Linked DNA regions of Neurospora crassa OR74A. Each later gene encodes a partner of the first gene's protein in a complex. Links are inferred from orthologs where the notes say so. Each region holds a gene or a part of one and is shown in the gene's direction. Other genes may lie near its edges.

Region 1 (4,550 bases):
ATTGCCATCGGGACGGTCACCGTCCTTTACGTCCTGGCGAACATTGCCTATGTGAGTATCCCCTCAAGTGTCTCACAAGAACTTCCATGACTGACAACACACAGTTCGCCGCCATGACCAAAGACGAACTCTCCAAATCCGGCGTCGTCCCCACCGCCATCTTCTTCACCCGCGTCTGGGGTCCCTCGGCCTTCACCGAGCGCGTCATGCCTCTCTTCCTCGCCCTCTCCGCGCTCGGCAACGTCTTTGCGCAATCCTTCGCCATGCCCCGTGTGAAGCAGGAGCTCGCAAAGGAAGGCACTCTCCCCTTCTCGCGCTTCTGGGCGAGCGACTGGCCCGAGCAAAAGTCGCCGACGGGCGCCATTTTGCTGCATTGGATCTTCACCGTGGCCTTGATCCTCGGATCCAGCACCAAGGACGTGTACCAGTTTCTGTCCAACATTTTTACCTACTCGGGCAACTGGATCAAGGTCTTCCTGGGGGTGGGGCTGCTGTATCTCAACTTTACGCCGAGCGAGAACTGGACGACGCCGGAGAACAAGCGGTTCCATAGTTATCCCGTCCTGACGGTGTTTTGGGTTGTCGGGCTGCTGTATACCTGTGCGGCGCCGTTTATCCCGAACACGCTGCTGACCAAGGTTCACTTTTCGGTGGTGCCGGCGCTGGGGACGGGCATGCTGGTTATCGGCGTCATGTATTGGGTGGTTTGGGCCAAGGTGTTGCCGGCGTTTGGGTTCTCTATACAGCACGAGGTGGTGGTGTTGCCGGATGGGAGTGAGAGGGTCAAGTATAAGAGGGTGAGGCCGAGGGGAGGTAGGAGTGGTGCGAGAGGGAGGAGGAATGGGGGGAGGGGAGGGGGGAGAGGAGGAGGAGGAGGAGGAGGGACGACTGTTGTGTGGAGGTGATAGGACGTGTGCACTTGTCGATGTAGAGAAGATACAACGTAGAATAGTAGATCAATGATTCGCGTCTTCGTTTCAGGAACAAGATAAAAGGGGATTTGTTTACTTTGGATGGAGTCTGTGTCCTTTTACCCCTTTTTTTTCATCTTTTTTTCCCTTGGAGCAGAGCCCCTTTTTCGGATGGCGCAAGCGCCCTGGGATCGATCTACTTTGGCCGGTGGAACTAGCACTAAGTGTCTGATCAACATGCCGGTGGGTTAGATCTTCGTGTTCACTTCCATGAATCCCCAATACGAGATGGACCATTGATATGATTTGGGGTGTCATGTTGATGGGAATCCCAACCGCCAAGACGAAACAAGAGCGGATGGGAACACTGTTTCAGCGGTCGTTGGCAGACGCCAAGTGCCTGTAGCAGGGCAAAGGAAAGGCGCTGTGGACGGACACACTGCAGCCGAGGCGGACAAGTCGGCCAGGTGGGGAACGGGACGCGGGGCTCCATCGGGCTTAGCGGATAGGTCCCGTTCAATGTGCCGTGCGAGCGGGTGTTGTTGTATCGAACAATTATTCCTTTCAGTGGACTGCGGCCCCCCCCCCCCCCCCCTGACAGCAGTGACGGCCAACCTCCACCTTCGGAACACCACTTGACACCACCCGGGCACCCTGGCGAGCGAGAGGAAGTGGTTTTGGTGTCCTTCTTGGGAATACTACCTCTACCACCACCACCACCACCACCACATTTCAGTCTCACTTGTCAACACCATAACGAGTAACGACCTAAGCGCGCCCGGCCCCGTCAGCCATGCTCCAGCAGCCCTACGCCGTCGACTCCGTTCATGTTCAAGTCCGATGAAGGCATTGCTTGCGCATGCATGCCTTGCTGCCCTCTGTATCCGTCCATTCTCCAGCCAGCCAGCCAGCCAGCTCCAGTTCCAAGTTAGCTTCCGTCTAGACTGAGTGTACCTACCTAGCTGCTCGATTCTCCCACCTACGCCTACGCCTCGCTTCACCACTTCAGCCTCGCCAGCCCGACATTGACTCTTTCCTCCCATAATCCCCGAGTCGATCTGCGGTCGACCCTCGTTGCGCCATAACCAATGTCTTGGGACTTGTTAAAGCGGTTCCTCGAGAGCGACGTCTTCAACCAAAACCCCTTTCTCTCCGTCTCCTACCTCTCGTCAGTCAGCCATTCCGTTTTGCCAAGATTCGCTACCCCTCCTCCTCCTCCTCCTCCCCCTCCTCCTCCTCCTCCTCTTTCTCTCCTCCTCACTCGGCGCGGCGCGTATCAGTACTGGCCTGGCAAGACACACACTAACATGACCGCACCGCCAGACGATATGCCGACCACATAGGAATTCACTATGTGCTGTGCAGCAAGCTGCGCCAGTTCCCCTACGAGGACATCGAGTTCTTCCTCCCTCAGCTCTGTCACCTTATCATCAGCATCGACAATGAGTCCATGGCCCTGGAGGAGTTTCTCCTCGACCTGTGCGAGGAGTCGGTCACAGCAGCCTTGTTGGTGCGCAGCCCTCTATACACCATCTGACGCTTTGCACGACTCCGAATTGCTGATATCTCGCCCGCTCGCAGACATTCTGGCTCTTCCAAACATACCTACACGACCTATCCGCTAATCCACAGGCCAATGCCTTCAAAATATGCCAGAGAGTGTACAACAAGGTGCAGCATATCGTCTTTGGCGTCTCCGACAGTGCAAGGAACGAGAAGATTACGGAAAACGCTTTGCCAGTGACTGTCCTAGGGAGCTTCGTTCTCGCCAGTATCGCCGCCCCGTTTCTCCCCCATTGGGCTGGCCCGCTTGCCGTCGCGCAAGCCAGAAAGCCCCGCCCTCAAGTCATCGAACCTGTGTTGGACGCTACTCCCGTCAACGCCGCCCCACCTGCTCGCGCGCATACCGTCACTGCTGGTACAACAAAATCGAGACGGGCAAAGGAGGCCCGCCTTACAAGCTCATCGGACCATCAGCTCCAGAGCAACAACAGCAGCCCGGTGGCGCATCGCCCCAAGCCCAAGATCAAGGAACCTCAGCCTGACTCCCGGCCGACGTCTTCGGGGTCTTCTATCAAAACGCCGGTAGAGACCAAGCGACCTACTCCTTTCGATTCCAACGTCTTGGAGGCGCGCCTTAGTTCATCTTCACTGCCTCTACCAACGTCGAATGCCAATTCTCCAGGTCTTGTACACAGGCCGACCACTCCGGCCCTGCGGCCAACGACTGGAGTGAACAGGAGGCACTCGCACCATGTCAAGACGCTCTTGAACCAAGCGGACATGAGCCGCACACAAAAGATGCGGCTACTAAAACAAAACTACTTCCACTGCCAAACAGCATTCCTGACCGCACTAGAGGATATTTCAAACCGACTAGTAATAGTACCAAAGGCTGCACGCCTAAGTGCCCTACGCGCTGAGCTGGCTCTAATCGCTCAAGAACTCCCGGCCGAGGTCGATATCCCAGTCATCTGCCCTCCTACTTTGGTCAACGGCTCTCCTTCGCAGAGCCGACATCACAGGATAGTCCGTCTCAACCCGGCTGAGGCCACGGTACTGAACAGTGCTGAGAAAGTGCCTTTCCTGCTTATGGTTGAGATTTTGAGAGAAGATCTCACATTTGACCCGGATTCTCAAGATAATCAGAGACTTCTGACACAGCTTTTGGTCGAACAAGGAACCAGGAGGCGGATTTTTGACCTTTCCGAGTCTTCTAGGATACCAGCCACACCCCGTTCACAGGAGCCCGTCATCGATAGTGTTTTTGAGCCTTCCTCGGGGGATCTAGGGCACTCGCCACTAATAAAACCGTTCAACGACGAGCCCTTTGCCATACAGCATAACCCCGTTCCTGGCGGTCTCCGCCATGCTGCCACTACTGGGACCAGCTCGACACAATTTGTTGATCTGACGTCAACGCCTCGCAGTTCTGGCACTTCGGGATCCTCTACCCCACCTTTCAGGAGGATGACCCTCCAAAGTCCGCGCAACAACGCGGCCGCCGACCAACCTGATTTCTCTGCCCTTGCCATCCATATGCGGACAGCCTCGCAAATGTTGGCGCAGTTGGATGCAACAAGTGGCAAGCGGCCGCGTCATGAAGTGGCCGCAATCAGGGCAAAGATTATTGCCAGCATGCAGAGTCTGGAGGAGGAGAGTTTTGAAGTCCATGATAGCCAAGGGCCGACCTTCGACATGATTATGGCCAAGGCCAGTGCAGAAAACGTTATCAACGGCAATGTCGCCACGGACGAAGAAATCGAGGCTCCCCTGGAGAAGGTCGAGTCTAACGTGAATCCAAACGCCGGTCTAGCAAGGATGGAAAACGATATCAAGACAGGCGGTCTCCAGCGCAAGGGCGATCGTGATGATCCCAGCGCTGCCGTCTTCGGAGAAGCTTGGGAGATGAAGAAGGAGCGTATCCGCAAGTCCTCTCCTTACGGCTGGATGAAGAACTGGGATCTCGTCAGCGTCATTGTCAAAACGGGTGCGGATCTCCGTCAGGAGGCATTCGCCTGCCAGCTGATCCGCGTGTGCCACAAGATCTGGGTAGAGCACAACGTGCCCGTCTGGGTGAAGCTCATGCGCATTCTTGTTACGGGCGAGTCGTGCGGTCTGATAGAGACCATTGCCAAC
Region 2 (4,310 bases), on another chromosome or scaffold:
GCACTGCCTCCTTTCCTTACTACGTCAGTCCCGGCACTATCTTCCAAGTAGGAAAGTCGCAAAGGTGCAAAGGAGCTGAAGAACAACCTGTTTTTCTCAGACCGCCGTGGAGGTCCGATCAGGTGGAGGGGTTTGGAAGAGAGAATGTCAATGACCTTTAATCATGTTCGACAATAGACTTCCTTACATCTTTGGTGTTATTAAAGTTGGTAGGTATTCAAGTGGTCGACCGTTTATGACGAAGTGGGGCGAACGACTTCTCATTTTGGGCTTTGGGCCTCCTCGAAGCGAAGGATGATTGGGTGTCGCAGACAGAGCCTCAAGAATGGTACCAAGGAGAATTGTTGGTACCAGGCCCGTCGGTTACATATGGTGCTTAAATATAATGGACAGAACATTAACGCGGTCGAATTTGCGCAATTCGGTGTCAAGAGGTTTGCTGTTTGACATCGAGCGCAAACTACTTGTATATCATTTACTTCCACTGTCACCCCAAAAAGTGAGATGAGCCGGCCGCCGGGCATGGGTAGTAAGTACTCCTCCGGGCTCCGGCTCGAAAGTTTAGTCCTGGAGGAAGTACATGTTGTTCGGATGGCGGCGCTAGAATCACTCTGAAGTATATCTTGCCAGAAAGTGTCTTTTCCGAAGTCGCCTCCCCAATCCTATCTCTTCATCGTACGGATCTGGGCTGCCGATTGATGTTGGTTTGGTTGAATGGTGGCCTCCGTTTACCTCCCAGCGCTCCCATCCTCCGGCGCGGGCTCTCGAGACCTGCCCTTCTTGTCACTTGGGCTCCCTGCCCGACAAATCAGAGAGCAGCAGTTTTTCCAGCCAACCTGGCATGATAGCTGGCGCATGCGCTGCCTACCTACACCCAAACGTCCAGAACCCGATCGAATTTGTTCCTTGGCCGTGCAGCCCCTGTCCCAGTTATTAGAAATCCCGCCCGTTGCCCCTCTTTGCAAATGGATGCGAATATCAACCGAGTTCCTTGGGAGAGGGGAGTGAGGGCCCCACGTAAAGTCTGAAACACACATGCTGGAGAACAAGCTGAATGTTCGGAAAAAAGTCCGCATCGATGGAAATGATGCTGCGTCGGCAGTAGTGTACCACAGCAGCATGAGCAGGTACAAGGCAGCTTTCTCAAGCAAAAGACGATGACTCGAGTCAGAAACAGCCTGGCCTCTCCATGCCAGGCCCGGCGTCAAATCGATGGATGGGAGGGAGTCGAACCTGGAAGTGAGGCGCCGCACGAAACGAGCGGGCGGATCAGGTTCCCGTCAGGTTCGAGCGGTCGGGTGTTCCTTACCTCCTGGCTAACATATGGTCCCCTGCTAGTCACCCTAGTTCCACATTTTAATAACGGCCAGGGCACTTACAGTGGTTAGCTGCAGTTAGTGCAGCAGCTCCAGGGCACTGCATCAAAGGTCGCCCATCTCGCCAGACTGCCGCCGTCATCACCTCCGATCTCCCGCGCATTTTGCCCTGCCTCTCGCCTTGCACCCTGACACTCCTGTGCTGCCAATACCTCTCTAGACCTGCTCATCCATCGATCCCATTTCTTTTTCTTTTTGCCATTACAACCCAACACCTCGACATCTTTTCCTATCTACTTCTCTTCACTCTTCGGTGCAACCCCAAGGCCACTCACTGATTGCCGCTTACCGAGTCTGCTACTTGAACTATCCTATCGGCCGACGACAATATAAATCCACCATACAAGGCTGCTTGCTCCCATCGCTCGAGCACCGTCTTGCCCTTCACACAGCGTCTCGTTACCTACGACCAAGTCAATTACAAACGTTAACGGTATCCCTGAGAGAAAACCCACGGATCGTCACCGAACCCCTCCTCCGACCTTTCGGCGCCAACCCCGTACGCGACGCCATTCCGAGTGACCCCTTTCCCTCGAACCGCCGCATCGTGGGACCACCTTGCGAACGACATCAGCATTTGCTAAATAGTACCGAGTTATCCGAAAATGGGCAAATCGTGAGTGACCAAGTCCCCCGAAATCTCCGCGACTCTTGCCCGATCAGCACCCACCACCCGACCGCTTTCTCCGCATCCCATCATCATCATCATCATCATCATCAATACGCACCGCACACCTGTTTCTCAGCAGTGGAGGAGGGACCGTGATCCGTTTTGCTGAAGTCTCCTCTACCGTCGACCTACCCCGTCCTTCACTCAATTCTACATATCATACAATGGGCCTCTTTAGCAGGAGTCGTTTCTCTGCGCAATCTCCCAAAACTGAAAGCAAGATGAAGAGGCTGACACTGAACCCCGCCCGACACAGGCAGAGCAAGCTCGAGCGTGATAAGCTGGAGGAGTTGGAAAAGGCCACCCACTTTGACAAGAAGGAGTTGCAGCAATGGTATAAGGGTGTGTTACCTATCCCCGTCCCCTTTCTCCTATCGCCGACGACCCCTTTGAACACCGCCGCCGTCGCCGCCAACGATTACATGCCCTGACCGATGCGGCGCTGTCTCCCCATCGAAAGCGCTTGCTATGCGCCCTCGTTGCCAACCAAATCTTTCGCTTCATAGACGGCCTCTAACAAGTTCATTCACAAACAGGCTTCCTCAAGGATTGCCCCTCCGGCATGCTCACCAAGGCCGAGTTCCAGAAGATCTACGCACAGTTCTTCCCCTTTGGCGACCCATCGTCATTCGCCGACTACGTATTTAACGTATTCGACACGGACAAGTCTGGCACCATCGACTTCAAGGAGTTTATCTGCGCCTTGAGCGTCACGAGCCGCGGCAAGATGGAGGACAAGCTCGACTGGGCCTTCCAATTGTACGACATTGACGGCGATGGCAAGATCACCTACGACGAGATGCTCAAGATCGTTGAGGCTATCTACAAGATGGTGGGTTTACCCTTTCTTTCTTATCTCTCTACGCCCTTTCCCGTGTCGTCGCAATCTTGTACGTTAACATTCTGATCCCTCAAAACAGGTCGGCTCAATGGTCAAGCTCCCCGAAGACGAAGATACTCCCGAGAAGCGCGTCAGCAAGATCTTCCGCATGATGGACAAGGACGAAAACGGCAGCCTCGACATGAAGGAATTCAAGGAGGGCAGCCAGCGCGACGAGACAATCGTATCCGCCCTCTCCTTGTACGATGGCCTCGTCTAACCAAGTTTCTTTTCATCAATTATCATTCGAGGTATTTCGTTTAGCCAAAGGGGGGGACGGCGCGCAACGGTCTGGCGAAGCAAATTTTACCAAGAGGAGGAGCATGATTTGATGTGTGTTGCAGCGCCAACAGGCAAAGTTTCATCTCCCCGAAACAAGGCAGAGCTGGAGTTATAAAGGGTGGAAAAGAAAGAGAGAAATCAGTTGTTCATTTGGAAGCAAGATATCCCAGGGAAAGCGTGATGGACAAGGGGAATGGTTGCGAGAAAGAAGGGAAGAGAGAGGGTTCAGCCATCTCGGCTCGGCCCAGCTCGATAAGTGTGCGCGCATACATCGATCAGACAAGATAAGAAGAAAGCACAGCTGGCCACATGCTGTTGGGGCGTCTCATCTATGGTTCCGTGGTCGGAAATGAGCCTCGCCGCTAGGTACCACCCATTCGGCCCAGTTCTTAGTCTAGATGTCGACCGGGATGTGATGGTCTTTGGGGCTGTGCTGTTCTTGGCTTAGGTCTTGAAAGAGGAGATTTCAGACCTGGTGATCACACGGATTGGATGGAAGGGAGAGGGGAAGGACATGAGAGCACATAAAGGGAAGTCGGAGTGAGAGGGGATAGAGACGGAATAAGGAGGAAGAAGAAGAGAAGGAAATCGTGATGAACGGCGTTACCTGGCTGGTATGGAACGAACGAATACACTACTACGGCTTGGTCAATTGCAACAATGGACGACCTTGACTCAGAAGTTACCTCTTACGCGTCGTGTGTGTGGATACTTTTAGGCTTGGTTTTTTTTTTTTCTTTTGAGGGTTTAGCAATTTTTTTTCAATGTTTCATCCGTTTCGAGCCCTTCATGATGTGATAACCGGGCTGTTGACTGTAATCTTTCTCTAATTCCCGCGTACTCTCCCCTACCGCCAGGTTTGTCATGAACGGAGGTTATCTTTTATTACTATTAGTTGTAAGTCAACACCGCCAACACTCCAACAAGTGACATCATCGTCATCTTGCTCGCCAAGATCAACCCGTTCTGGGATATAATATCAATGACAGTAAATTTTTTTAAATTTTTTTTTTTTCGTATTTTGTTATTTTCTTTTTCTATATTCAAGCCCCCCCCGTTTTCGTTCAAATGCGTGATGCAATGATTTCTCTGCTTACCCCAT

Evidence for each region.
Region 2: the proteins of NCU10397 (region 1) and cse-1 are in contact, whole or in part, in an NMR structure (PDB 2JU0), measured with the Saccharomyces cerevisiae proteins. The link is inferred for Neurospora crassa OR74A from reciprocal best matches to the Saccharomyces cerevisiae genes PIK1 and FRQ1. Residues at the interface, in NP_014132.1 of Saccharomyces cerevisiae: Ser122, Tyr123, Gly124, Phe125, Val127, Ala128, Val131, Asn134, Leu135, Gln136, Asn138, Asn141, Thr142, Ser143, Lys151, Glu154, Asn155, Val156, Ala157, Pro158, Ala159, Leu160, Val161, Ser163, Ser164, Met165, Met167, Ser168, Ile170; in NP_010661.3 of Saccharomyces cerevisiae: Trp30, Gly33, Phe34, Arg36, Asp37, Ile51, Tyr52, Phe55, Phe56, Phe64, Phe72, Phe85, Leu89, Thr92, Ser93, Arg94, Lys100, Leu107, Tyr108, Met132, Ser134, Met135, Glu142, Arg148, Lys151, Leu155, Asp176.

The regions. Positions count from the first base shown.
Region 1 is NC_026503.1:1,284,457-1,289,006, forward strand, and holds the start of NCU10397 (phosphatidylinositol 4-kinase PIK1a), read left to right. Parts: upstream 1-1,568; 5' UTR 1,569-1,999; coding exon 2,000-2,079; intron 2,080-2,234; coding exon 2,235-2,421; intron 2,422-2,492; coding exon 2,493-4,550. Other genes in the region: NCU10675 (methionine permease), read left to right, coding at 1-51, 105-905. UniProt on the Saccharomyces cerevisiae protein: Acts on phosphatidylinositol (PI) in the first committed step in the production of the second messenger inositol 1,4,5,-trisphosphate. PIK1 is part of a nuclear phosphoinositide cycle and could control cytokinesis through the actin cytoskeleton.
Region 2 is NC_026504.1:3,562,302-3,566,611, reverse strand, and holds cse-1 (neuronal calcium sensor 1), read left to right. Parts: upstream 1-1,491; 5' UTR 1,492-1,981; coding exon 1,982-1,992; intron 1,993-2,302; coding exon 2,303-2,388; intron 2,389-2,582; coding exon 2,583-2,878; intron 2,879-2,966; coding exon 2,967-3,146; 3' UTR 3,147-4,084; downstream 4,085-4,310.